Sus scrofa: one gene and its partners. The protein of the gene in region 2 binds, or shares a complex with, the protein of the main gene of each other region. Links are inferred from orthologs where the notes say so. Each region holds a gene or a part of one and is shown on either strand. Other genes may lie near its edges. The genes, in order: SMIM20, cytochrome c oxidase assembly factor 1 homolog, CMC1, NDUFAF1, ECSIT, surfeit locus protein 1 and ACAD9.

Region 1 (4,139 bases), on a different chromosome or scaffold from region 2:
CCTCCTCTGAACTTCTGCAGCCCCCAAGACTCCATCACTCATCAGCAACAGGCTGTGTCGGGTCATTAGCTGTCTTTTTATGTATATGTCCTGTCCCTCCATCCACATGACAGGATCCTGGAGAGCAAGGGTCATGTCTTATTCATCTTTGTGTCCCCCGTGGCACTTTGCCTGATGTTTGGGGCACAGCGGACAGTCCATAAATCTGCTGACAGATTGAATACCTGATTTATATGCTTCTGGAACCACAGAGGTACATAGTAGCTTGACTCAACTACAAAACTACAAAGAAAAGAGGAAACCTGTGACCTCCACACCATTTCCGAAAGATCGTAAATCTTTTCTGCACTAAATAATGATGCTGGGGTCAAGATTTGTTCCCCAGCCCCCAGCTGCTGGTATCATTCTTATTTAAAAACGATTGAGTGAAAGCCCAGGGAATCTTAGTCTCAGCTGTCCAGTACCGCTGGGTGGGTCATATACTGACACAGCCCCCCCCCAGAAACATGAAGGATGGCAATCACAGGAAGAGGAAGCAGATCTGTCCTCAGTGGCTTCCACCCCAGGCAACAAGGCAGAGCCCCAAGGTCCCATTAGTAGAACTGGCTGCTGGCTCCCTGCCCTGCACGGATCTCTATTCCCCATCCTCATTCGTAATCCTGACATCCAACAAAGGGAAGAGGGAGAGAGGAGAGCATGGAAGATCAGAGTCAGAAAAGATTTACTTGTAGTTTGGATGTTGCAATAATATTCCTCCCAAGCTAGCCTTGGTTCAGAAGCCCCTGCTGGCCATCCAGGGTCAGGCGATTTGCATTTGTCTCTAATCCCCTCAAACCGCCCTTAAGGCCAAGCAACTTGTTTAAATCATGCAGCCAAGACAGGATTTCCTCATCTGTAAAAGATATGTGGATTAAATCAATGAGCCCTAGAGAGCATCCACCTCTTGGTGGAGTCATGAAAATCAAACCAGTGGTGGAAGAAGGAAGTTTGGTTGGTAAAGGAGGGAGTGGTAACGAGGTCAGAAGAGTGTGGGTGGAGCGGCTGAGAGGTGAACCCGGTTTAGGGCAGGGGGCGGAACTGAGATCAAGAGCAATAAAAGCTCCACTCTCCATTCTCCCAGCTGGCGCTCGCCCTCCGGAGCCAGGCAGCCAGGCGCTGCCAGGCACCGCCCGGAGGCGGTGCGTGGGGTTACACGCCTCGCCCCTTCCTCCCCTAGTCCCACCCCCGCCCCAGCCCCACCCCCTGCCCTAGCCCCACCCAGTCCTAAGCCCCGCCTTCGGTGCCACCCTTGACCCAACCTCTTCCCGCCCCTGTTCCGCCTCCTAGCCCCGCCCACAAGGCCCGGAAGCAAAAGCCGTTTCTCCACTTCCCAGCCGGGTCACGACCCAGCGGGCAGGAGCCAGGATTGCGAGAGCTCGGTGTCCTCAGCGGGTCAGCGAAGGCCCGGTTCAGAGCCATGTCCACGAATCTGCGCACCGCGCTCATTTTTGGTGGCTTCATCACCCTGATCGGCGCCGCCTTCTACCCCATCTACTTCCGGCCCCTAATGCGGCTGGAGGAGTACCGTGAGTGACCTCTGACCACCACGCGGTGCCCTGGTCCCAGTGACTCCCTCTCTTTCCCCATCCTCTCCACGTGGGGCCTTGGGCAGAGCTTGGCTCGCGAGTCAGGGAGACCTGGGTTCGAATCCTTTGTGTGCAGCTTTGTGACCGTGGACAAGTGACTCCACCTCTTGGGCCCTCACTATCTTCATCAGTAGTTATGTGTTTCTGTAGTATCTTAAAATAAAACCGTCTAGCCTCTGCTGAGACTCAAAGGCAGTCTGCACGTCGTAGGTCAACACTAAATACGAGTTAATATTCATAGCTAACATTCACTGCAGGCTTCTATGTCTCGTTAATGCACATAGGATCTTTTAATTTACACCTTTTTTTGAGGTACATGTTGCTGTCTTACAGACGGGGAAACTGAGACTCAGGTTGTGTAACATGCCCAAAGTCACACAGCTGTTAGCGGCAAGACACGTATTCCAACCCAGGCCTCTGTCTCCAGAATTTCTTCCTTGTACTGAAGCTGGGAAGGTGATATTGGGGGAGGGAGGTGGGCCCTAATTGTCCTGAACTTGCAGATGTGTTTATTGCACTTCATTTCCGCTCCCAAAGATGTCTTTGATCAGAAATGTCTCAGAGCTAAACTGTTAACCTGAGGTTTTGGGTTTTTCCTCTTCTTTCTCCTCAAATCTTCCTTCAGATTCTGCTATCTTCCTTCATTTTAAGCTGGTTACTCACATGACAATGGTGAATATCCTGGGAGTAATTTTCTTCCTTAATCATTCCAGTCCTATCATTCTAAAAGCCACACTCCCCTTCCTTGAGACCTATACCTCAGCAAGGATTAGCACTTTGATACATCTGAAACCATCTGTCAGAGAGAAAATATTAGGCATTAGAGGCTCATTTTGTTCTCCAGGAAACCTGAATCATCTAGAAGATGGAAAAGGGCCAACCTTGCCCCTTGAGAATATCAGTGGAGGCTGTGAGCTTGGTGATTTGAAGGCAAAAGTGCTGTATAAATGCTCTGACCATTACAAATGCTACAACATCTGGTTTCTGAGGCAGAGCGGTTTAAGTACACACTCAAATTTCTTGTAGCTTCTTTTCATCAGTCAAGATTGAAATGGCCTCTGCACCCTGCCTTCCAGCCTATCTATCTACGTGACCACGCGTGACCACGCGTGACCACGCGTGACCACGCGTGACCACGCGTGGGGGTAAACATGGGACCTTGGAAGCCCTGCGTTATCTCTCTGTTTTATCCCTTCTTACTTGGTCCTTGCCCCGGGCTATTGTATTATAGCCCCTAGAGTTGAAGCTGGGACAAGGGAATCTACTTTGGATCCTACTTGAAAAGTTTCAGTTCTGAAGACTAGAGCCGTACCTCTCAACTGGGGATGATTTTTGTCCCCCAGGGGACATTTAGTTCTATCGGGAGACGTTTTTGCTGGTCACAAAATGGGTGGGGTGGGTGGAGTAAGTGTGCTCCTGGCATCTAGTGTATAGAGGCCAGGGTGCTGCTAAACTCTCTGTAATGCACAGGGCAGCCCCCACCCCTTAACAAAGAATTACCCAGCCCAAGATGCGAGTGGTGCCAGTGGTGCTGGGTTGAGAAACCCTTGCTCTAGGGCAGATGATCAAGGTGGGTTTGTGCTGTGTCTCCCAATGACAGTCTTAAAGGAATAGTCCAGGGAGTTCCCATTGTGGCTCAGCTGTTTAAGAACCTAATATCCATGAGAATGAGGGTTTGATCCCTAGCCTTGCTCAGTGGATTAAGGATCCAGCATTGCCACAAGATACAGCATAGGTCGCAGGTGCAGCTCAGATCTGGCACTTGCTGTGGCTGTGCTGTAGGCTGGCAGCTGCAGCTCCAGTTCGACCCCAGCCTGAGAATTTCCATATCTGGCAGGTGCAGCCCTAAAAAAAAAAAGGCGGGATGGGGAGTAGTCCAGAGTCTATGGTTGCCTGAGTCACCTTGAGATAGACAAATGAGGCCTTTAAAGTGAACATTTAGTGCATGTGGCTCCAGTATCTGCATTTTTAACTGTAAGGCATTCTACAGCTGCCTGCTTTTCTGGTTCAATTTTAATTGATTTGAACAACTCTTATCTGAGAGTCATAACTGATTCCTTAAAAAAGTAAATAATACTAAATAGCTAATATTTATTGAAAGCTCTCTTGCAAGCACTTGATATATATTAACCCATTTGGTTTTCATAACAACCCTTTGTGGTAGCTGCTGTGTGACTAGCTCCCTGTTTTATTTTTTAATTCTATTCTATTCTACTCTACTCTAAACTATTTTATTTTTTGTCTTTTCTTTCTTTTTTTAATTTTTTTTGGTCTTTTGTCCTTTTAGGGCCGCGCCCGCAGCATATGGAGGTTCCCAGGCTAGGGGTCTGATCAGAGCTATAACTGCCGGCCTACACCGGTGCCATAGCAACGCAGGATCCGAGCCGTGTCTGCGACCTACACCACAGCTCACAGCAACGCTGGATCCTTAACCCACTGAGCGAGGCCAGGGATCGAACCCACAACCTCCTGGTTCCTAGTCGGATTCGTTAACCACTGCGCCACGATGGGAAC
Region 2 (4,222 bases):
TTTAACAGGCAGATAGACTGCAAATATTCACCCCAAATCTAACAAAGGGTTAATACCTCTATAGGAAGAACTCCTACAGATCAACAAGGCAAAGACAACACTCAATCAAGAATTAACAAATTATATAAACTCTTCCCCCTGCTTCATTCCAAATCTTAAAATGCTGCTCACAGGTTCTTCACACTTTGCTGGGCCTGGTCTTGCACACACAGCAGCTTAGTTCAACTCACTCTGAATTACCCACTGACCTCTAACATGTCTCCAGAAGAGTGGTAATTAATCTCATGTGCTTTCTATCTAAAGGAACCACTCCACAAGACTGTCATATATATAAGGGACTTGTATCTAGAGTATATATGGAAATCTTACGACTCAGTGATAAAAAGCAAGCAGCCTAATTTTTAAATGGACAAATGATATGAACAGACATTTCTCCAAAGAAGACACAGAAATGGCCAGCAGCACATGAAAAGATGCTCAACATCGTTAACCACCAGGAAAATGCAAATCAAAATTGCAACAAGATACCAATTCCTACCCACCAGGACGGCTAGAACTGAAAACACAAAACCAAAGAACAGATAATGACAAGTATTGGCAAGGACCTGAAAAAGTCAGAGAAGATTCATACACTGCTGACAGGAACATAAAACAGTGCAGCTCCTTTAAAAACCAGTTTGGAAGTTCCTTAAAATGTTAAACACAGAGTTACCATGAGACCCAGCAATTCCCTTAGCTATATACCAAGAGAAATTAAATCATGATGATGACACAAAAACTTGTACACATAAATGTTCACAGCAGCGTTATTCATAACAGCCAGAACAACCCAAATGTCCATAACTGACCAATGGATAAATGGTGGTATATCCATACAATGAAATATTACCTAGCAATAAAAAAGGAATGAAGTGCTGATACATGCTATAACATGGATGAACATGATTGTTAAAAGTGAAAAAAGACAATCAAGAAAGACCACATAGTTTACAATTTCATTGTATGAAATGTTCAGAATAGGCAAATATATACACCCAGTAGATCAGTAGCCCCTTAGGGCTAAGAGTGGGGAGGAGTGGGAGTGAGTAAGGAGGAAATCATGAGACTGCTAATGGGCACAGGGCTTGTTCTGGGGGTGATAAAAACTTTTCAAAATTGATCGTGGTATTGCTTGTACAAATTTGTGAATGCACGAAAAACCAAAGTATATTGTAAAGTTCTAGGTATGTGACCTATATCTCAATCTGGTTTGTTTTTTTGTTTTTCCCCAAAAAGACTGTAGCTTGGGGAGTTCTCATTGTGGCACAGCAGAAATGAATCCGACTAGTATCCATGAGGATGCAGGTTGGATCCTTGGCCTCGATCAGTGGGTCGGGATCTGGCATTGCCAGGAGCTGTGGTACAAGTCACAGATGCAGCTCAGATATGGTGTTGCTGTGGCTATGGCGTAGTCTGGCAGCTGTAGCTTGGATTCAACCCCTAGTCTGGGAACTTTCATATGCCACACTTTCGGCCCTAAAAAGCAAAAAAAGAAAAAGCAAAAAAAAAAAAAAAAAGACTGGATTGGGGTGTGCTTTTGTTTTTTTTTCCCATTATATCCTCAGCTCCTAAAACAGTGCCTGGCAATATCAGGGTTCAATAAATTCTGACTGAATAGAAAAATAAATTTCCAAATGTGGGTAAATCATTATAAAACTGTCATATCCAAAGAGACGAAATGACTGCAGGTTGGCATGCGGCGGGGGTGGTATACAGGGTGTTTGTGTGTTTGGTGAAAGGAGATAAGACCGAAAAATTCATCAGAAGCAAGGCCCTGCAGGGTCTTGAAGCCAGCCTAAGGAATTTCTATTATCCTCAATCAATGGGGAGGCCAGTAAGACTTTAAGCAGAGGATGAACACAGATCTGTGTTTTAAATGTATAAAGTCTAAGTAAAGAGTTGCTATTTTTAATAAAAGGGAAGCGGAGCAGTACTCAGGTGAGAATGAGGAGGAATTAGGGGAAGACGGAAAAAAAAAAAAAAGGAAATTTCAAAATATAAGAATCTTTGTGAATTTTAAAATTCCTCTCTCTCACACACACATACATACACACACACCTGAAACTCACTTACACTGAAACTCACTTCTATGGTCAGCCCCCGTGTGGGGCTCAAACGTGACGGGGCCAAAAGGTATTATGACCACTGAGCCAAACAGCTCTTTTCTACAGCCATCTAGGCAGGGTCCTCCTCTGGCTGCTGCAAACTGGGGCCACGGACAAAGGGCCCAGGTCCACTTCTTTACAAATGTGCTCCCGGGAACGCTCAACGAAACCCCAGGGCAAGACCACGGTGAGACACACAGGAGGGGGCACCTTACAGCGTCGCGAGGAGCTGAGCCCACCAGGGCCCCGCAGGTGCCAACCTTGCAACGGAGGGAGGTCGAGGCCGGTGACAACCCGGAGGTGACCCCGGAGGGGACTCCCCTGGCCACAGCCCACCCGGGACGCGGTCGCGGCCCCCGGCGCTGCAGGAACACCCACTCCTGGGGCGGCCGAGACCCGACTCCCTCCGCGGGCAGTGCCAGCCTCCCGGCTTACCACGCCGCCGCGGAGAGCGGGAGGGCTCCTCCCGGACGTCCGGTGGGAGCCGCGGGGCGGGGGGAGCGCGGAGGCCGGCGGGCGGCCCCGCCCCGCGGAGAGCAGTCGAGACTTCCGGCGTCGCCTCCCCGTGGGCTAGAGCGTCGGGACGAGCCCGCCGCTGGCGGACCCCGGACCCGGGCGAGCGAGGTGCAGGTTGGTGCCTGGCGTCTCTGCAGGTGGACCCGCGCCGGGAGGGGACTTGTCTCCTCAGATCCCCGCTTTTTGTTTTCTGCGCGCCATGAGCCCTCAACACACATTCAGTCCCGCAGTGGCTGCCGAGGAAATTTAAACCTCTGGTTCACGTTGCTCCTCGCAGGGATCGGCGCTTGGGTTCACATCCAAGGATGCAGAACCACGGGCCATCTGAGCCCCATTCTAGCCCTCAAGTCCATCTTGCCCCATTTGGCGGAGAAATTTGGCAAAAAAATTTTTTTTAATTCACCAAATATTTATGAACTGCTTACTGTGCTCCAGGGAATGCAGTGCTAAGAAAAAAATGTAGTGGTCTTTGCTCTCGGATTTTAGTAGTACGATAATAATAATTTACTTAATAGATTTCTCATAAGGATGGATATATAGTTTTTGTTTTTTGCTTTTTAGGCCCACACACATGGACATCCCCAGGCTAGGGGTGGAACTGGAGCTGCAGCTGCCGGTCTACACCACAGCCACAGCAAGGCCGGATCCAAGCCTCCTCTGTGGCCGACACCACAGCTCAAGGCAATGCCAGATCCATAACCCACTAAGCCAGGCCAAGGATGGAACCCACATCCTCATGGATACTAGTCGGGTTCATTACCACTGAGCCCCAACGGGAACTCCTCTTATCACAATATAAACCACTCAGAATAGTCTGGCATTTTGTTAAAGTGTTCAATAAAGGCCAGTTACCTTATTTTCATCTTGACCATTCCATTGTCCTCACTGCTATGCATGATTACTTTTTTAACGTTAAGCGTGAAGTCCCAGTGTTACCCGCCTGAGTCCCTAGACTCTAATCAACAGAAATTGCTAAGAGGCCAAAAATTCCAAGCAAGACTATAAGGAAAATAAGAAACAGGTGCCCTTGCTCGCTGTTTGAGTCCTTAAATGAGTTAACAAGAGAGGCCCCGTCCATGAATTGAGCAGGAGGCATAGCTGAAATGGTCTGCCCACTTCTTTGGTGGTACTTTGTGCAGGGATCATGTGCAGTCCACTGCTTTTGGTCCTGGCACCCCTGAACCAGTAGTTGGGCTTTGGCCTCTTTATATCTTTTGGTTCATAATTGCCCCCAACTGCCACATGCATGCAATTATTTTTAGTCCCTTATAGTTTTCTTCCTGGTCTTGGAAGAGTTATTTGTTCAGGTGCAAGCACTCTGGTAAAGGGTCCCAGGTTCCAGTCTACCACCCAAGTACCTTTCCTCCACAAAGCAGTGAGTCTCAGGTGAGTCACCTAGATTTGATGTGTTCCATAACCAGACTAATTAAGGGCAGTCTAAAGCAATGGTCTTCAAACTCTTGATCACATTCCCATCAGAAAAGAAAATTTGACTATAAACATATACTATGTATGATATAGATACATATTATGCATGCTATAAAAACTTCCGCAAGAAATAG
Region 3 (4,214 bases), on a different chromosome or scaffold from region 2:
CTAGCATTTTCTTTTCTTTTGCTTCTTGGGGCTGCACCTTCGGTATATGGAGGTTTTCAGGCTAAAGGTCAAGTTGGAGCTACAGCTGCTGGCCTACAACCACAGCAACCTACCACAGCTCACGGCAACACCTGATCCTTAACCCACTGAGCAAGGGCAGGGATCAAACCTGTGTCCTCATGAATACTAGTTGGGTATGTTACCACTGAGCCACAATGGGAACTCCCTCATTTTTTTCTTTTTCATAATTTATCTCTCTCTTCAGACACTTTTCCTGTGTGTTTTGTTGGACTCTCCAGCTCTTTCTCTCTACATTCAAATTGTCAGGTAAAATAGTGATAAAATTATGGCTGATAAGCTTACAAGGAGCGCTGTTATTACTTCTACATTAACAAAACAGAAAATTATTTCAATACAACTACATACAAAAGTAATGCAAAGTTTCTTAAGAAAAATAGACCCTACAAAGCTAGTTAAAAGCTGCTGCCAAATGAAGACCAAACTTGTACAAATTTTTTTTTTTTTTTTGTCTTTTTGTCATTTCTTGGGCCGCTCCCGCGGCATATGGATGTTCCCAGGCTAGGGGTCGAATCGGAGCTGTAGTTGCCAGCCTACATCAGAGCCACAGCAACGCGGGATCCAAGCCGCGTCTGGGACCTACACCACAGCTCACGGCAACGCAGGATCCTTAACCCACTGAGCAAGGGCAGGGATCGAACCCACAACCTCATGGTTCCCAGTCAGATTTGTTTACCACTGCGCCATGACAGGAACTCCTGTACAAATATTTTTAAAAATCTAACACAAACCAATGAGAAACAGATTTTACTACACAAACTTCATTTGGCCTAACTATCTATTCATCTACTTGGAAATACTTCTACTTGGTATGGGCATATACCACTGTGGACTGTGAAAAGCAAAAGAAATATCAAAGCATGAACCAAACGAAAACAAAGTTAAAAAAAAAAAAGCAGCTGATATCAATACATTTGTATTCTGGAATTTAAAACACACAAAAAATTTTTTTGAATCTTCCTACTGGCGGACTCTACTTTCTTACTTTCCATTTCAATCTTGTTTCCATCCCTGCTTTTATTGAAGTTTCCAGTGATCATCATGTTAGATTTGACCATCACAGGCCACCCACCTGAAGTAACTAGCCTAGGAATTACCCTTCAGGCTTCTCTCCCTCACCACCCTTATTCAACCAACAGTAAGTCCTGTTAATTTCTCCTCCAAAACATCTCCTGATGCTTCATATTTCTTTCCATTTTTTTTCCTAATAACAACCCAGACCTATATACCAATGGGTTTGTTTGGGCTACTGCTACCACTCCTAATCTTCTGCTCAAACCCGCTCCACAATGCTACCAACTGCTGAGGGGGTTGGAAAGGTATAAATCATATTACGGCACCACCTTCTTTAAAAGCCTCCAGAGGCCTTTGATAACATCAGGAAAAATCCTAATGCTTTCCAATACGGCCTTCAGGCCGTGCAGCATCTAGGTTCTGTGTACGTTCCCAACATCTCTCCTTATGGATCTCCTCCACTCTGATAGAAATGATTCAATCACATCGTTTAAGCATTTGCACCTCGGCCCAGCTGTATGCTTTTCCATTACCTCTACAGGACTGCTTCCCATAGTCCTTCAGATTCCAATTCACTTGACACTTCCTCCTAGAGTTCTTCACTGACCATTCCACCTTAAGTCGTCCTTTCTTAACCATTTCTTGACCATCTACCTATGTCACTGCTTATTTTCTTCATAATGTTTATCACAATCTATAAAAGTACTGTGGGTGGTCTTCTTTCTTCTACAACTAGAATACAAGCTCTAGATAGAGCAGGGATCCTTTGCCCTATATACCAGACTCCTAGGGCCTAGAACAGGAAGGACATACCGTGTGCACGCAACAAGTATCTGTTTCATCCATAAGGACGTAAAGGCGGCATGGTCTACCACCCAGACGGGAAATGCACTGAAATGGACTGAGTTCTATGCAGACTCTGCCGCACCAGCAATCAGCCACGAGCCTCGTCAGCTACACGATTATCTCCTTCTCCTTGAGCTCACTAAAGTGATTGTCATTTCTGAGTCTCCAAATGTTTGAGGTCATTCCTCCTCCCACTGGCTGGACTTTTCACATCCAGAGTGAAGGGAATGATCTAAAGCTAATCACCATTCCCTCTAGACACGCAGCTCTGGGTACCCTCTAAACTGAGATGCCGAGGGGCAGACAACACGGATACAAACTGCCCTAGGGGTACGCACGAAAGTCAAACTCACAAAGAGCGGGGCTTGGGGGGCGTTTTCCAAACAAGCTGGCACTCGCTCCGATCAATGATGTTAGGTTGGACTACAGATACTTGAAATGGGCGAAAAGAGGACAGGTGTCCAGAAGAAAACTATCTGCAAGCTACAATCGGAAAAGAGGATCGACGCCAAACAGCGCCGCTCCCCGAACCATAGCCCTAGGGCCGCGGAGCCAGGCGCCCGGGCGCGGCGGGGCGGGGCCGCCGGGGCGCCGCGCCTCCCCCAGCTCGACCCCCGCCCCCAGCCCGCCACACGCCAGCCGCGGCTCGGCAACCCCCGCCTCCCACCCCGTACCTGCGGGGTCGTGCGCCATCTCTGCGCGGGAGGAGGCGCCCAAGCGGCCAAAGCACTGGCAGTGTGGGGCGGAGCCCGGGCACACGTGCAGTGAAGCAACCCGCGGCGGGAGGAGGAGCCTTACGCCAAGGGAAACTGCCGCTTGCTTACTTCCCAGTAACTACTTCCGCCGCTCATTGCGCCTGCACCGTCCTGACACCACCCACAACCCGGTAACCAGAGTGGGCGGACTTCACCGAGCGATAGCCCTGGGAGGGGGCGTGGCCGTCTTGGAAGGCGCAGGCGCGCTCGGGGCCTGAGGACTCGCGCTTCTCTGGGTGGCTCCGTACAAGTTTAAGCCCCTCCCTCCAAGCCTGCCTCCGAACCGAACGAACCTGCCGGCTCCTTCATTTTTCCTCTTTAAAGTTCATTCATTCATAAGTATGTATTTCATGCCTGCTAGGTTCCAGCCACGGTTCTGAATACAAGGAGGAAATAACTGGGTAAAAGTAAGGTCCCTAAGTCTCCAGACGCACAGTGTTGGTGAGGGACCCAGAAATAAGCAATACGCCCTGACGACTTGTGCAGCAAGCACCCGTGTACTGAGTGCTGCATCCTTACTTCTCTCCGGATCGAAGCCTGCGCCTTCCCTGGAGGTTACACTTAGAAAGTGAGCGCTAGGATACCTCTGTCTGGTGAAATAACATCTTCATGACGTGTAGTCCCATTTGGGTGATGCTGCAAATCCCCACTCGGTCCATCAAAGCTGTATATGCGAGCAAAATGAAGGAAGCGATAGACATCCTCCTCAAGAGCCCCAACTGCCCTCTTCCCAGTAGAAGAAACTTTCTGGGTAGTAAGTAAGCTCATATCCACTCACCAGCCAGCCTCCAGAAATGCTCCCTTGTCACATCCACGTTGAGCTAGCCCGAGCCTCTGGAGGGTCAGGTGCGCAAGGGCACAGATGGGACAGATGTTAGAAAAACAAGGAGCAGCTGCTGCTTCGCAGTTAGGGCTTTGAGGCTTTCAAAGTGATCCCGTCCCCACCTACCTGCAGGCCCTCCTCCCCTGCTGCTGCTTCCTCCTGGTCAGTTGGCAGAGAAGCTGACGCTGCGGAGCAGGGCTGGGAAAGTGGGTCTCTGCTCAGCAGGTCTTCCGTTTAAGGGCCTATTTGGGCATAACGGCCCTTATTACAGCTGTAGGATGAGGCGCCAAGATGGAATTAATGTTTCACTCAGCCAGGCAGGAAATCAGGTCCTGTTCCCTGTATGTTTTATAAATGTGTTTAGAAACACACCAGATTCATTCTGGAGGCAAAAGATTTAATCTAGAAAGTAAATCTTTTTGAGGTGATGAGGTGAGGTATAAGAACACGTCATACACACACAAGTAATTAAACTCAATCTTCCTCATCAAAAGGGCAACATGGGAAATGCAGAAACTTGCAGAGACCTAGGCACCTCCACTTAAATCTTGCTTCATGACCTATTAGCTTTCTAACTTGGATAAGCTTCAATGTTTCTCTGGACTTTCATTTCTAATTCATGAGGTTGTTGTGAGAAATAAATGCAATATTATCTAACACTGTTTCAGGACTGCCTCCACAGTGTTGCCATGAATGAC
Region 4 (4,001 bases), on a different chromosome or scaffold from region 2:
ACTAGAAAAGAGGAAGGCACAGGCTGGGCTTAGGAGACAAACCCACATTTAAGGTTGTGGGAGTACAGAGTAAAGTAAGCAGCTAGAAAAAGCTCAAGGACAAGTTCCCATAGTGGTTTTGATCCCTGGTCTTACTCAGTGGTTTAAGGATGAAATGAATCCGATTAGGAACCATGAGGTTGTGGGTTCGATTCCTGGCCTCGCTCAGTGGGTTAAGGATCCCACTTTGCCGTGGCTCGGATCTGGCATTGCTGTGCCTCTGGCATAGGCTGGCAGGAACAGCTCCAATTTGACCCCTAGCCTGGGAACCTCCATATGCCGTGGGTGACAAAAAGACCAAAAAAAAAAAAAAAAAAAAAAAAAGTTCAAGGAGGTTGCAGAGCCAGGCAAGTGTAGTAGAATCCGGAGAAGTCAAAGAAAAATTTGAAGACAGAAAAGGTGTAGAGTGGAAAAGAGTGACAGAGGAAACTTGGAAAAGGCAATTGTATTTGGTGAGGACTTGGAAGGTACTCTGGAGAACGGTGTTAACAGCCAATGGTTACAATTCATTCGAATTCATGCTGAGGGCTTAATTCCTGCCAGCGTTATGTTAGGTGCTGGGGACAGGAAGAAGAGTACTTTCTGGACCCAAGAAGCTCACAGCATGGCGGAGGAAGTGAGAAGTGAATGAATAATTAAGATACAAGTGTTGAAAGTGCTTAAACAGAGGGGTGCGCAAGATACAATCGAAACCCTGGGGAGTGGGCGACCCCACGGGGCAGGATTGGGGAAGGGCAGGTAGGAGAGTTGGTGTTCAAGTTTCAGGTGGGTCTCCCAAGATTCTTTGGGGGTTAATTCCAGGAGAAGTAGCTCTCTGTGGCCGTGGACTGCTCTTGGGCTGCTCTGTGGCCGTGGACTGCTCTTGGGCTGCTGCTCTTGGGGGCCAAGGTTATTAGCAATATCTGGGTCCTACTTGAAAGATACAGGATGAAGTTTGCAGCATGAAGGCGGAAAGCAGGAAGGGGAGGCGAAAATTTTCTCTAAATTCTCCCCACTTTCTGACATAGGGCAGAAAAGATCAGGAAGGGCAGGAGGAGCGGGTCCTTTGGGAAGCTAGTCGACCATAACCCTCATTTCGCTAAGCTTCGGGATCTTTATTACTCTTCCCCCGACCTGCGTACCTGACCGGAACTCTAGTGTCATAAGGCCCAGTTTCCCTGCGGACTGGAAAAGCAGATGGACCTACACAGGAAAAGTGGAGTAGCCGGCGGGGAAAAGCCAGGAGCACAGCGGAGGTTCACTCTGGGGTGTCGCGAGGGAGGGCTGCAGCGTCGGGACTTGCGAGGGCGACACAGCCCTAGCAGGTGAGAAATGAAGGGGCCGTGACAATGTCCAGACCGCTCCCGGTCTTGGATCAGGAGCTAAACGCCGGGGCTCTTGGGGATAGGTTTGCCGCTTAGTAGTTGTATACCTCGGGTGATTTAGTCTTAGAGCCTCCATTTTCATCTTTGCAATTGGAATAGTAGCCCCTCTTTTGGTTGTTGTGAGGAGTTAAAGTACACCTAGAATAGTTTCTGACACGTGGTAAGCGCTGGACATACAGTCTTCAGTAAGATTGCTTGCTTTTAGCTTCATGGTTTATGCTGCCATGAAAACTCACCAGCTTCAGCCCAGGATCATCCAGTTAGTGATTTTGACTATGTTTATTGGTAAAAATATGAAACAAAATATTCATAACTAACGTTATATTATTAGAGAAGTAATAACACTACTGAGGGGTTGGAAAATAGGGTGAATAATGGTACTCATAATTCCATCACCCTGCACATGGCTGTAAGCCTTTTTTTAACCCCCAAATCTTTTTTGTTTGTACATTTACATTTTTATACTTATATCGTTACCGTATATGCTTTTTTTTTTTTCTTCCCCTTTTTCTTTTTTAGGGCTGCACCCGCAGCGAATGGAAGTTCCCAGGCTAGGGGTGGAACCCGAGCTACAGCTGCTGGCCTATGCAACAGCCATAGCAACACTAGATACTAGCCGAGTCTGTGACCTACACCACAGCTCACAGCAATGCTGGATCCTTAACCCACTGAGTGAGGCCAGGGATGGAACCTGAATCCTCATGTATCCTAGTAGGGTTTGTTAACTTCTGAGCCACCGAAGGGAACTCCAGTATACATGCATTTTTAATTCCTCATTATTTGTCACTCAGTAGTGTAGCCTAAGCATGGTGTTCATGAGAATCTTTTTTTTTTTGGTGTTTTTTTCTGCACCTGAAGCATGTAGCAGTTCCTGGGCTAGGAATGGAACCAAGCCACAGCAGACTGCAGTGACAACGGCCAGATCCTTAAGCTGCTGTGACATGGAGGAACTCTGAGAATCATTTTTTGATTGTACAAATTCCATTTTATCACTTATTTCCCAAATTTTTGTGTGTGGAGAGAGAAAATCATTTGAACAAGTCAGTAAGGGAAATTTAAGTATTACCTATGATTCCAAGACCTGAGGTCAACTCTTGTTATTTTTCCTGGTTCCCTGCAATTTTTGGTCCATTTGAAAACATACTGTTCACACATTTTCATTTGTTTATTTATTTTTGGGCCGCGGGTGCAGCATATGAAAGTTCCCAGGCTGGGGTGGAATCTGAGTTGCAGCTGCTGGCCTACACTACGCCCATAGCAATGCCAGATTCAAGCTGCGTCTGCAGCCTACACTACAGCTCTCAGCAACGCCAGATCCTTTCCCCATTAAACAAGGCCAGGCATTGAACCTGAGTCTTCATGGGTACTAGTTGGGTACCACTGAGCCACGATGAGAACACCCACATTTTCCTTTTATTTTAGCAAACATTGAGCATCAATTATGTTCAAGCCATAGTCAGTAAGCTTAAGGTCAGGTTAGTTAGGTAGACAGATAAAAGCAAGATCCTAATAGTATGTAAGGGCTGTGAGATGTATGCACAGTTTCTCATGAGAATATCAAGGAAGATCAATGTCAGTGTCCTCCAGTTAGAGGCCACTAGGAACATGCCTATAGTTGAACAAGTTGGGTTTACTATTCCTGTAGTTGTTACTGACCAAACTTGGGTCTGTTTGCCCCAGTGTAGTAAAGCCAATCTACTGACACTGGGTCGTGGTGAAGGCAAGTGCAGCATTTATTGCAGGCACCAAGAGTCCAGTACAGCCAGTGCTTAAAAGTTCAGAACTCCTAGAAGGCTTTCAGGGGAAGGTTTTAACTCCTGGAAGGCTTTCAGGGTATGTGATCAGCTGTGGACATTCTTCTGATTGGTTGGTAGCGAGGTAATCTGGAGTCAACATCATTAACCTGTCGCCAACCTATCTGGGGTCTACCTGCTTGTAGGCAGATAACTTCTACATGGTAGGGGTTTCGGTATCTGCAAAAACAGCTCAGAGGGCATGGCTCATAATATTATCTATAACCCTTGAGGAGGAACTAAAGGTCTTTGACTTTGTGTGGTTTTTTTTTTTTTTTTTTTTTTTGCTTCTTTAGGGCTGTGCCTGAAGCATATGGAAGTTCCCTGGCTAGGGGTCAGATTGGAACTGCAGCTGCCAGCCTATGCACTGGCCACAGCAACGTGGGATCCAAGCCATGTCTGTGACTTTGTTTAATGGCTAAATTATTATTATTTTGTCTTGCTCAACTCCCTTTTTTCCTGCATTTTCTTACTTCCCTGATTAAATTTACTCTTTGGAATTCAGGGGAGGCCCAGGAAGGTACAGTTTTTCTACAGACAAGAGGCAGGTGGAGTTCCCATCCTGGCTCAGTGGTTAACAAATCCAACTAGGAACCATGAGGTTGCGGGTTCAGTCCCTGGCCTCACATAGTGGGTTAAGGATCTGGTGTTGCCATGAGCTGTGGTGTAGGTTGCAGACATGGCTTGGATCCTGCGTTGCTGTGGCTCTGGCGTAGGCTGGTGGCAACAGCTCCAATTTGACCCCTAGCCTGGGAACCTGTATGTGCCACAGATACAGCCCTAAAAAGACAAAAAAAAAAAAAAA
Region 5 (3,200 bases), on a different chromosome or scaffold from region 2:
GGAGTTCTTATCATGGCTCAGCAGTAACAAACCCGACTAGTATCCATGAGGATGTGGGTTTGATCCCTGGCCTCATTCAGTGGGTCAAGGATTCGGCATTGCTGTGAGTCCTGGTGTAGGTCGCAGATGCATCTTGGATCTGGTGTTGCTGTGGCTGTGGTGTAGGCCAGCAGCTGCAACTCCAGTTCAACCCCTGGCCTGGGAACTTCCATATGCCACAGGTGCAGCCCTTAAAAAAAAAAAAAAAAAAGAAAAAGAAAAAGATATATTGTTGGAGTTCCTGTTGTAGCTCACAAGAAGTAAATCAAATGCATCATAGACCTGAATGTAAAATACAAGACCAGGAGTTCCCTGTTGTGGCTCAGCGGTAATGGACACAACTAGTATCCATGAGGACTTGGGTTCGACGCCTGGCCTCACTCAGTGAGTTTAGGATCCAGCGTTGCCATGACCTGTGGTGTAGGTCACAGAGCAGCCTGGGTCCTTCATTGTTGTGGCTGTGGTGTAGGCTGGCAGCTACAGCTTTGATTGACCTCTAGCCGGGGAACTTCCATATGACACATGTTTGGCCCTATAAAACAAAAAAAAAGATGTACTATTGATTCATTAATGTTGAACTCACACCAACAGCACTATAACTTGTGCCTGAGGTTACCTACCATATGTATTTTCTCTGTAGGGAACAGCAAGGCCCTTCTTGCACATAGGAACATTAGGGAGGCTTGGGGGCCTCTTTCAACAGCAAAACCACCAAAACAAAAAGACACAGAAAATGTGCACTAAATCAACCTCTAAAAGGACACTTGGAGTTCCCTGGTGGTCTAGTGGTTAAGGATCCAGTGTTGTCACTGCTGTGGCTCGGGTCACTGCTGTGATGTGGGTTCAGTCCCTGGGCTGGGAACTTATGCATGCTGTAGGTATGGCAAAAAAAAATAAATAAAATAAAAAACATAAAAGGACATTTCTTGACAGCATGGAAGCCAAAACAAGGAGGCTGAGCATTGCCTTGTTCAATCTAAGCTGGGAATGTAGGCTTTAGGCAACTTGAATTTTCTACCCCACTGTATGCATCTGCAAATAGCTGGAAAGCACCAAGACTTTTGGCTTTGGGATTATAGGTGAATTTAGCAAGTAGGCAGATTTGCAAATATGAAATAAATTTTGTCATCTTTTTCTTACACAAATGGGAACGTGCCGTACACAGTTTCGCAAAACCTTGCTTCTTTTAATGATACAGGTTAGAACTCACTCCAGGTCACACAAGACCTCCTCCTTGTGCCTACAGCAGTAGGTGCTCTTTGTCCTGATTCACTGCCATTTGCTAAATTATTTCCCTGCTAATACACATTTGGGCATTTCCACTGACCCAGTGGGAAGCACAAAAGTCATTTTGCGCAGGTGCATTTAGAGATGTCTGGGTTTTTTTTGTTTTGTTTTGTTTTTTTTCTTTTTGTCTTTTTGCCATTTCTTGGGCCGCTCCTGCAGCATATGGAGGTTCCCAGGCTAGGGGACTAATCGGAGCTGTAGCTGCCAGCCTACGCCAGAGCCACAGCAATGCAGGATCCAAGCCGCATCTGCAACCTACACCACAGCTCATGGCAACACCAGATCCTTAACCCACTGAGCAAGGCCAGGGATTGAACCCGCAACCTCATGGTTCCTCGTCGGATTCGTTAACCACTGAGCCAGGACGAGAACTCCCTAGAGATGTCTGATTTAAATACCAGGTGCAGGATTGCTGTGTCAGAGGGTGTTTGTTTGTCTTCATGGTGAATATTGCCAAATTGCCTCCAATGGAGTTTTACCATTACTGCTCACACTTTGTAGTGGGGCCTTATCTTGGCTCTGTAACCATAGCACCACACTTCCTTGGTGGCCCTTGGGGCTGCCCACTGGCACCTTTCCCAGCAAAAAAACCAGCCCAGCAGCGTCCCAGGGGCACTGGGAGGCACCAGATTCCAGCAGTGCCTCTCTGTCTGTAGGTGCCACTCCAGGCAGCACACGGCCTTCACTGCAGCACAGCCATGCACACCTTTGACTCATCGCTGGTCCCGCACCCACCCAAGCCCCCGAGGAGGCCCATCAAGGCCCTGGCACTCCACGAGGAGCTGTTTAGGAAGGCACCGGATGGGACACGGGAGAAGGCGAGCTTTGTGCAGGCCATACAGGACTTTGCGCAGTACAACGTGCACAAGCGGGGCCATGTCGACTTCATCTACCTGGCCCTGCGCAAGATGCGGGAGTATGGCGTCGAGCGGGACCTGGCTGTCTATAACCTGCTGCTTGACATCTTCCCCAAGGAGGTCTTCCGGCCTCGCAGCATCTTCCAGACCATCTTCTACCACTACCCACGGCAGCAGGAGTGCGGGATCGCTGTCCTGGAGCAGATGGAGAACCACGGTCAGGCCAATAGGCCAGCTCAGGCAGCTGGGGGTGGGGGGCTGCCTCCCTCTCCAAGGTCTCGGGCCCTCCATGGCTTTTTGGCACTAACTCCTCTCCTCCTCATCTCTCAGTCTGTCTGGCTTCCTCCCCTGCCCACCCCACCCCGATCCCTTGCTCATCCTCAGCTCCCATCTTCCCTTCTTTCTTCTGCCCCGTCCCTGAGGCTCTGCCTGCATCTGCCTGTCACAGGGGTGATGCCCAACAAGGAAACAGAGTTCCTGCTGATTCAGATATTTGGACGCAAAAGCTACCCCATGCTCAAGTATGTGCGCATGAAGCTGTGGTTCACCCGCTTCAGAAACATCAACCCCTTCCCTCTGCCCCGGGACCTTCCTCAGGACCCCGTGGACCTGGCCAGGTTGGCCTTGCGGCACATGGAGCCCGACCTCAGCGCTAGGGTCACCGTCTACCAGGTATCCACTCCTGTCCACACCCTTGGCCACCTCCCTGTAGTGGAGGCCCCCTTCGGTAACCCCAAGTGATTGTGGTGAGACAGGGGGAAGTTCCCTGGCTGAGCCTCTGCTAGATTCCAGGGCCCTCAGAACAGCCTGACCTCTGACGTCTGCTCCTGCCCCTCTCCCCACACTCACTGTATTCTGGCCCTGGCCTACCTTTCTGTGCCTTAAGCGATCTGTCAGTTCCCTCCTCAGGCGTTTGTGTTCACTGTTCCCTCTGCCAGGAACACCCTTCCCCAGGGACTTCACCTCCTCAAGTCTGAGCTATTCTTTCCCTCCCTGTCCTCCACAGAGCCAAACACT
Region 6 (4,119 bases), on a different chromosome or scaffold from region 2:
GTTGGGGGCTGAGAAGCAAAGCCAAGGAAATGAACGCCTCACAGGCCAGTCGGCCCCTGAGCCCCACTCACCCCAGGTCAGTGCAGTGGAAGGGAGTGACAACGTGGGCGCCACTCTCGGCGGTTGACGACAGCCGGCCGGCGTCCCGGGCCTCCCGGGCCGGGTCCACCATGGTCCTTGGCATCAGGTACAGCTCCTTGGAGTGGTCAAAGTGCCCCCTGACCTTCACCGGCCTGTACTCCAGGTTTCGCAGTTCCAGTGGGCTACAGGGAGAGGAGAAACGGAGCTGGGGCCGCGCAAGGTTTGGCAGGAAGACGAACCCTTTGGATCTGCCATGAAGCCCACGGTGACTGAGGTGCCCTCTGAAGGAGGAAGCCGGGGCCTTTGATGCCACATGGGAATGTGGGTCTGGGCTGCCCAACGGAGCAAGTGTTCAGGAAAAGCTTAGAGATGGACTCCCGCATGAACGGGATAAAACACATGAGCCAAAGCCACATCCGCAAGCCAAGTGGGACCCACTGTTTGCTGTCTTGAGCGGAAAGCATTCTGATTACAGCTGTTCCTCTAGGATGGGGCTTTTATTTTTTGTTTTTTAGGGCCGCACCCGTGGCACATATAAGTTCCCAGGCTAGGGGTCATATCAGAGCCACAGCCACGTGGGATCCAAGCCTCTCCTGTGACCTAAATTACACCTCGCGGCAATGCCGGATCCTTAACCCACCAAGCAAGGCCAGGGATGGAACCCACATCCTCATGGTTACTAGTGGGACTCGCTGCTGCGGCACAACAGGAACTCTGGATGGTGCTTTTAAATGAGGGGACAGGGGAGTTCCTGTTGTGGCTCAGTGGTTAACGAATCTAAGAACCATGAGGTTGTGGGTTTGATCCCTGGCCTTGCTCAGTGGGTTAAGGATCTGGCATTGCCGTGAGCTGTGGTGTAGCTTGCAGACGCGGCTCAGATCCCGTGTTGCTGAGGCTCTGGTGTAGGCCAGCAGCTACAGATCCGCTTAGATCCCTAGCCTGGGAACCTCCATGTGCCGCGGGAGTGGCCCTAGAAATGGCAGAAAGACAAAAAATAAAAATTAAAAAAATTAAAATGAGGGGACAGGGCTGTAGACTCACTGGGCACTTTTTCAAAGTACTTCTCCTGTCAAGAGATACGTGTACCCTAGCGCTGGCTAAGAATGACTGCTATAGAGGCCATCCTCGAGGGACCCTTGCTGCACAGGGCATGGAAAAAAAGGTGAATCCCAGGTTCAAAAATTTTCCTGTGTATGTCAGGCAGTGTCACAAGGGCAGTCGAGTGACAACAGGAAGCCTAGCAGGCCCACTGATGTGAGAGCTCCCATCAGGGTCAGGAAGGCATGTGACCTCCGGCCAGCGCAGCCCTGGTGGGCAGCCACATACACTCACTCTGCGGGCAGCGGGATGGGCTCAGCCATAATCCTGGACTCCAGTTCGGCGATCAGCTTTAGCTTCCACTTCCGACGCTGGACCTACACAGACACAGAGCATTAGCTCGAGCGGGTGGCAGCAGGGTCAAGGGCTCAGGGCCAGGAGAGCCAGAGGTCAGGCTTTACCTGCCATGTCCCCAGGCCAAAGGCAGTCCCAGGAATGAGGAGTAGAAACCACTGGAGAAAGGCATCATCGTGCGCTTTTGCGGCAGTCGCTTCAGCTGAAGAGCTGCCACTCCTGCTGGGCCTCCAGGCCAGCCCTAGGAGATGTCACAACATGGGCATGGGGCTAGAGGCCTGGGACAAAGAAGTGGAGGCTCCGAGTTCTCAAAACTGCCACTATTGCCAAAGAGAACATGGGCCGGGAGGAGGGCACAGGCCACCGTGTGCAGTCAGGAGCCAACCAGCAGCCCAGCCCTGCCCCTACCCAGTACCCGGGCCTTGACCCCCACTCAGCGGACGTTCACTGACGAGGAGATCTAGCATTCAGTCCTGGCTCTGCCACCAACCATGACCCTGACCGATTCACATAACCAACCCGTGCCTTTCGCACAAGAACCCGCTAAGATGCATCCTATCACGCCGACCACACAGGTCCACCAGCCACAGTGCTCTGAAGAGAGCGTGAAACACTCAGGACAGTGGTTTACAGAGCTCTCAGCATTTAAACCTCGAAAAAGGTACACAGAAAGTGCCTTTAGACACTCAGCGGGCGAGTGCCGTCAACGGAAAGCATCATGGGTTTGGGGCCGCTAAACAAGCTGGTCTGGAGCAGGCTTGCGACCTTTAAATGTGCACCGCACTCCACACACACACACACACGATTGCCCTTTGCTGTACCCGGGAGGCAACGTGCAAACCGTCGCGACTGGTTGTGCTTTTCTTCAGGATCCCGGACGGTTTCAGCCTTGGGCTGGCCCCGCATTAGTCCGAGGAGGTGTCTGGGCAACTACCGCACGTCTTCCGCCGAGGGCGTCGGACTGCCGCATGGGACGGGCCGGCGCGTGGCCAGGGCCTGTCCCCGAGGCGCAGGAGGCAGTTCCAGGGTTCATCGTGACCCCATGACCCCTGGCAAAGTGCAGGGCAGCTTTCCCAGGTGCCAAACGACTCCTCACCTGGGCGCGAGATGACCCCAAGGACGCTCCTCCCGACGGCGCGGGCCGGGGCCTGCGGAGACGCGAGGGGCCGGCTGAGCTCGTCCAGTCCGGGCGCGCCCCCCAGCCGGGCCGCCCCCCGCCCGGGCTCCCCGCCCCGCTCACCCGCCCCGCGCCCGCGGCGCGGAGCACCTGCGCCAGCCCCGCCGCACGCAGCCCCAGCCACCGCGCCGCCATCGCCCCGCGCGCGCGCGCTTCCGGCGCCCGGAGGCGTCTGCTTCCGGGGCCCGCCCGGCCCCGCCCCCGGCCCACGTGGTCCAGCGGCGCTCAGCTGCGGGTCCGCGCGCGTGGGACCATGAGCGAGCCGCCGGCCGAAGTGGTCGCCTTCCTGCGCGAGCACCCGAGTCTGCGGCTGGAGCCCGGCGCCCTCAAGGTGGGCGGCGGGATCGGGACCCCCAGACCGCCCCCGGGACCCCGGCTGCCCGGCCTCCCTGACCGCCCCGCTCTCCCGCCGGCAGGTGAGGTGCGCTCTGACGGGTCATGAGCTGCCTTGCCGCCTGCCCGAGCTCCAAGTCTACACCCGCGGCAAGAAGTACCGGCGGCTGGTGCGTGCCTCCCCGGCCTTCGACTACGCCGAGTTCGAGCCGCACATCGTGCCCAGCACCAAGAACCCGTACGAGCCGGAGGCGGGGCGGGCCCTGCCCGGGAGGCCCGGGGTGGGACAGTTCCTAGTGCTGAGTCTGGCTAGGGCCGGGTAGACTCCGCAGCCCCGACCCCTCCCCGCTAGGTGGGCGCTCCTCTAAGACGCCACCAGTTCCGCGGCGCCCACCCTCCCTTGAGTTAGGGCCCCCGAGATCCAGGTGGGAATCCTGGAGCTGGGCGTCACCTGGGACCTCAGGCGAGGCCCGGTCCCCGTGCATGTTTGCTTTTTTGTAAAGATGAGGTTTGTCTCCTGGGCCTCTTTGCTTCATAGAGGGTTGGAGCGCTTGTGCTTTGTCACCTGAGGTTCGAACGCTGGCATTTTATCTTTAGTTGAAAAGAACTTTGATTTAGCTGAGAGCACCCGGTGGACAATACTAGTCTTAATGAAGAGGGCGCTGGCAGATGCTCCCACTGTCGCACACCTTCCCAGGCTATCACCAGCGCACCTCTCTCATGCTGGAGCAGTCTGGAGAGGCTGGCTCCGCCTATTGAGAGGCCACTGTCTGGGGGAGGGGTTCCCCCCCAGTTCAGAGTACAAGTGCTTGGAAGCTCTATAAGAGTCCCAAAGTTCCCTGGTGGCCTCACGGTTAAGGCTCTGGCATTGTCACTGCTGTGGCATGGCTGCAATCCCTAGGTCAGGAATTTCGCCATGCCGTGGGTGCAGCCAAAAAAAAAAGACTCCCAGTGCCCAAGCCACATGGTAGACCTCCCCCGCTCAGACTCTCCGGGGTGATTCTAAGAGCAGCCACAGTAGACAGCCACTGGTCTGGAACCTCGCTTGTGAAATGTCCCCTCAGGCACCAGCTGTTCTGCAAACTCACCCTGCGGCACATCAACAAGGCCCCAGAGCATGTGCTGAGGCACACCCG
Region 7 (3,500 bases), on a different chromosome or scaffold from region 2:
AGAATCATTTTTTAAATGTACAGTAGTTGCAGAGATGGGGCCACTGTGACCCATCACGATGCCATGCAGAGGTGGCGATGTAACAGAGGACACACTGTGCCAGGAGACAGGGGATGGAAGTTCAGGACTGAACTTTTACATGTTTCAAATTCCAAAAAAAAGTGAACGAAAACAAAAAACAAAACAAAACAAAGAAAAACAATCAGAGTTCCCACCGTGGCTTAAGGGTAAAGAACACAACTAGTATTCAGGAGGATGTGGGTTTGATCCCTGGCCTCAGTCAGTGGGTCAAGGATCCAGCGTTGCTGTGTGGTATAGGTCGCAGACGTGGCTCAGATCTGGCATTGCTGTGGCTGTGGCATAGGCCGCCAGCTGCAGCTCCAATATGACCCCTACCCTGGGAACTTCCATATGCCACAGGGGTGGCCCTAAGAAGCAATGTGTACCACCTCACACCTGTCAGAATGCCCATCATAACAAGTCAACAAATAACAACTGCTGGAGAGGATGTCGGGTAGAGGGAACCCTCCTACACTGCTGGTGGGAATGTAAAATGGTGCAACCACTATGGAAAACAGAATGGAGGTTCCTCAGGAAACTAAATATATAATTACCATATGACCCAGCAATCTCACTCTTGGGCATATATCCAGACAAAACTTTCCTTGAAAAAGATGCATGAACCCCTATGTTCACTGCAGCACTATTCACAATAGCCAAGACATGGAAACAACCTAAATGTCCATTGACAGATGAATGGATTAAGAAGGTATGGTACATATACACAATGGAATACTACTCAGCCATAAAAAAGAACAAAATAATACCACTTGCAGCAATATGGATGGAACCAGAGACTCATACTAAGTGAAGTCAGAAAGAGAAAGACACATACCATACGATATCACTTATACCTGGAATCTAAAATATAGCACAAATGAACCTTTCCACAGGAAAGAAACCTAGAGACTTTAGAGAACAGACTTGTGGTTGCCAAGGGGGAGGAGGAGTGGGGTGGACTGGGAATCAGGGTTAACAGATGCAAACTATTGCCTTTAGAATGGATAAGCAATGCAATCCTGCTATATAGCACTGGGAACTATATCTAGTTACTTGTGATGGAGCATGATAGAGGATAATGTGAGAAAAGGAATGTATGTGTATGTTGTGTGTGAGACTAGGTCACTTTGCTGTACAGCAGAAAATTGACAGAACACTGTAAACCAATTATAATGGGAAAAAATTGTTTAAAAAATCCATGTAATAAGAAATTTTAAAACAGACACACAAGAGCAGCTCTGGGGTGGGTGGCAGCACTGAGGCACACAGACTCTGGAGCCAAGATGGCTTGGTTCCCATCCCACCACTAAGGAGACAGGGTGATGGTGGTGACAAGACCTCTCAGCCAGTTCCTTCCCCTAAAAAGGAGCAGCACCCCACAAGGGTGACAGTTAAGGGACCCTGTGCACAGTGGAAACGGTCATGACGGCGACCCTGATGCAGTCTTGGAGGCTGTGGAGCTGTACCTTGGAGCCATTGAGGACATAGTGTTTCTTATCTTCGCTCAGTGTGGCCCTGGTCCGGATGGAGGCGGCATCACTCCCACTACGGGGCAGAAACCCATGGTTGAGGGGTAATGCTGGGAACCGAGAAGGATGGTTTCCAGCCCCAAATGGAAGGAGCTGGCAAACTTTTAAAAAAAAGGGCCAGATAATAAATATATTCAGCTTTATAGCCACAGACAATCTGTAAACAAGAGGCACATTCCAGTAAAACTTGATTTACAGCATATGGCAAGAAGGCTTTGTGAGGTCGGCAGCAGTGGTGACACTGGGGAGGTTAACCCCAGAGATGGGGCTCAAACAGGCTCGGCGCTCCTATGAGGGTGGGTGCCCGGGGCCCAGCTTCTGGGGTGGGGGACGCAGGGTGGAGGGGCCAGGTAATAGCCCTGCTGTTGGAAGCCCTGAGTTCCAGGGCAGCTGTGAGATTGTGGGCGGATCACACCATGTCCCTAAGTCTCATTTGCAGCTGTGAAGTGGGGACGATACCAACGCCCTTCATAGAGGCCTAAATGCATTACTGTAGGGAAGGGATGCTGCAAAGTACAGGAAAGCCACTGAACAGGGACTGTCAGGCCCATTATCTTGTGGGTGAAGGTCACGGGTTGGAGAAGTAAGGTAGAGAAACAGACCATGAAGAGACCCTGCAAGAAAGGCTGCTGACTCGACTCCAGGAAGCCTTCAGGGAGGGAAGACCCCGGCCACCAGCTGCTCAACCAAAGCCATGGATGGCCCCCGCCCTCTGCCCCTGCCGCCTGGGCTCACCTGGCTGGTTCCGTCAGGCAGAAGGCGGCCATGTGCTCCCCAGACGCCAGTTTGGGCAGGTACTTGGCCTTCTGCTCCTCGCTGCCAGTCATGATGATGCCCTGACAAAACACACAGGCTGCTTTCAGTGGTGGGGAGAAAGGAGCATGTGAAACACGGCCCCTTCTGGAACATGCTTCCTCCATGCAAGAGTTGACAGCTAAGAGGTGGCAACCCCTGCCCTTGGGGGGAAAATGGGGAGCTGCTGGCAAGTCTGGGGAGCTACGCTAGCAGGGAGCCCCAAGGGCACAGTCCAGGGTAGCAGCACCAGCACAGCTTCGGCACAGACTCAGGCTTTCCCAGCAGCTCTTCCACTTCCCAGCTGCGTGGCTGGGGGCCAGGGGTGCTGGAGCCACACCTGGTGCTCAGGCAGCGTCGAGAGGAGCAGCTGCACCGAGTGTGAGGCCGAGCCTGCTGCACACTCAGCTCCTCCCCACCCTGGTTACTATGTTGAGCAAAAACAATCAGAGGAATGAGCGGTGGACCCCTGGACCTCCCTGAAATGCTCCAAGCCAAGAACGGTGAGGGGAACAGGCACAATAGCAGGGGCACGAGCTCAGACCCCCGTGAGCAAATCCAGAGCTGGGTGGGGTCACTCCCAGCCCACGGTGAAGGCAGGCTCCAGTGGCATCTGACCTGGGCCTTGAAGGATGGGTCAGAGGTGATGGGGACAGAAGGTTTCAACGGAAGGACCACGTCACCGAAGGGCACTGAGCTCCAGACAGCAAGGCTGCACTTGGACACTGCCAGGCGAGGCTGCAGGACCTCGGGCCTCCCCGATCCTTGGTCAAACTGAGCAAGTCTGCTGCCCCGCCGCCAACTAGAGACTCTGGAAACCCAAACCCCTGACCTTGAGGCCGATGGCCTGGTGTGCCGCCAGGGTCACAGCGATGGAGCTGTCCAGGCTGATGATCTCGCACAACCGCGCATACATGGTGCTGGAGAGGCCCAGGCCACCTAGAGAAGAGACAGGCCAGTGCACTTAGGCTCTAGCCCCAAATTCCTCCCAGAAAAGGCAAATGGCTCTACTGAATAAAGCCAGCTCACCATTTTAAAAAATCATAATACAGAAAAGCACAAAGAAAACAAAAATTACCCATAATCTTATCTCTTGGAAAGTGCATTTTTGTGTACCTT

What was found.
Region 1: cytochrome c oxidase assembly factor 1 homolog (region 2) and SMIM20 share a complex: the UniProt entries of both Homo sapiens proteins name them as parts of the MITRAC (mitochondrial translation regulation assembly intermediate of cytochrome c oxidase complex) complex. The link is inferred for Sus scrofa from reciprocal best matches to the Homo sapiens genes COA1 and SMIM20.
Region 3: cytochrome c oxidase assembly factor 1 homolog (region 2) and CMC1 share a complex: the UniProt entries of both Homo sapiens proteins name them as parts of the MITRAC (mitochondrial translation regulation assembly intermediate of cytochrome c oxidase complex) complex. The link is inferred for Sus scrofa from reciprocal best matches to the Homo sapiens genes COA1 and CMC1.
Region 4: cytochrome c oxidase assembly factor 1 homolog (region 2) and NDUFAF1 share a complex: the UniProt entries of both Homo sapiens proteins name them as parts of the mitochondrial complex. The link is inferred for Sus scrofa from reciprocal best matches to the Homo sapiens genes COA1 and NDUFAF1.
Region 5: cytochrome c oxidase assembly factor 1 homolog (region 2) and ECSIT share a complex: the UniProt entries of both Homo sapiens proteins name them as parts of the mitochondrial complex. The link is inferred for Sus scrofa from reciprocal best matches to the Homo sapiens genes COA1 and ECSIT.
Region 6: cytochrome c oxidase assembly factor 1 homolog (region 2) and surfeit locus protein 1 share a complex: the UniProt entries of both Homo sapiens proteins name them as parts of the MITRAC (mitochondrial translation regulation assembly intermediate of cytochrome c oxidase complex) complex. The link is inferred for Sus scrofa from reciprocal best matches to the Homo sapiens genes COA1 and SURF1.
Region 7: cytochrome c oxidase assembly factor 1 homolog (region 2) and ACAD9 share a complex: the UniProt entries of both Homo sapiens proteins name them as parts of the mitochondrial complex. The link is inferred for Sus scrofa from reciprocal best matches to the Homo sapiens genes COA1 and ACAD9.

What each region holds. Positions count from the first base shown.
Region 1 is NC_010450.4:19,699,703-19,703,841, forward strand, and holds the start of SMIM20 (small integral membrane protein 20), read left to right. Parts: upstream 1-1,339; 5' UTR 1,340-1,456; coding exon 1,457-1,565; intron 1,566-4,139.
Region 2 is NC_010460.4:51,219,337-51,223,558, reverse strand, and holds the start of cytochrome c oxidase assembly factor 1 homolog, read right to left. Parts: upstream 2,801-4,222; 5' UTR 2,580-2,800; intron 1-2,579. UniProt on the Homo sapiens protein: Component of the MITRAC (mitochondrial translation regulation assembly intermediate of cytochrome c oxidase complex) complex, that regulates cytochrome c oxidase assembly.
Region 3 is NC_010455.5:14,680,844-14,685,057, reverse strand, and holds the start of CMC1 (COX assembly mitochondrial protein homolog), read right to left. Parts: upstream 2,801-4,214; 5' UTR 2,632-2,800; coding exon 2,613-2,631; intron 2,480-2,612; exon of another isoform or gene 2,292-2,479; intron 1-2,291. UniProt on the Homo sapiens protein: Component of the MITRAC (mitochondrial translation regulation assembly intermediate of cytochrome c oxidase complex) complex, that regulates cytochrome c oxidase assembly.
Region 4 is NC_010443.5:129,967,279-129,971,279, forward strand, and holds the start of NDUFAF1 (complex I intermediate-associated protein 30, mitochondrial), read left to right. Parts: upstream 1-1,201; 5' UTR 1,202-1,343; intron 1,344-4,001. UniProt on the Homo sapiens protein: As part of the MCIA complex, involved in the assembly of the mitochondrial complex I.
Region 5 is NC_010444.4:70,157,563-70,160,762, reverse strand, and holds part of ECSIT (evolutionarily conserved signaling intermediate in Toll pathway, mitochondrial), read left to right. Parts: intron 1-1,982; coding exon 1,983-2,400; intron 2,401-2,631; coding exon 2,632-2,855; intron 2,856-3,200.
Region 6 is NC_010443.5:272,967,687-272,971,805, forward strand, and holds the start of surfeit locus protein 1, read right to left. Parts: upstream 2,801-4,119; 5' UTR 2,786-2,800; coding exon 2,714-2,785; intron 2,622-2,713; coding exon 2,570-2,621; exon of another isoform or gene 2,380-2,569; coding exon of another isoform or gene 2,295-2,379; intron 1,715-2,294; coding exon 1,581-1,714; intron 1,497-1,580; coding exon 1,414-1,496; intron 264-1,413; coding exon 72-263; intron 1-71. Other genes in the region: SURF2 (surfeit locus protein 2), read left to right, coding at 2,904-2,981, 3,067-3,221, 4,048-4,119. UniProt on the Homo sapiens protein: Component of the MITRAC (mitochondrial translation regulation assembly intermediate of cytochrome c oxidase complex) complex, that regulates cytochrome c oxidase assembly.
Region 7 is NC_010455.5:71,405,937-71,409,436, reverse strand, and holds part of ACAD9 (acyl-CoA dehydrogenase family member 9, mitochondrial), read right to left. Parts: intron 3,321-3,500; coding exon 3,214-3,320; intron 2,426-3,213; coding exon 2,325-2,425; intron 1,606-2,324; coding exon 1,527-1,605; intron 1-1,526. UniProt on the Homo sapiens protein: As part of the MCIA complex, primarily participates in the assembly of the mitochondrial complex I and therefore plays a role in oxidative phosphorylation.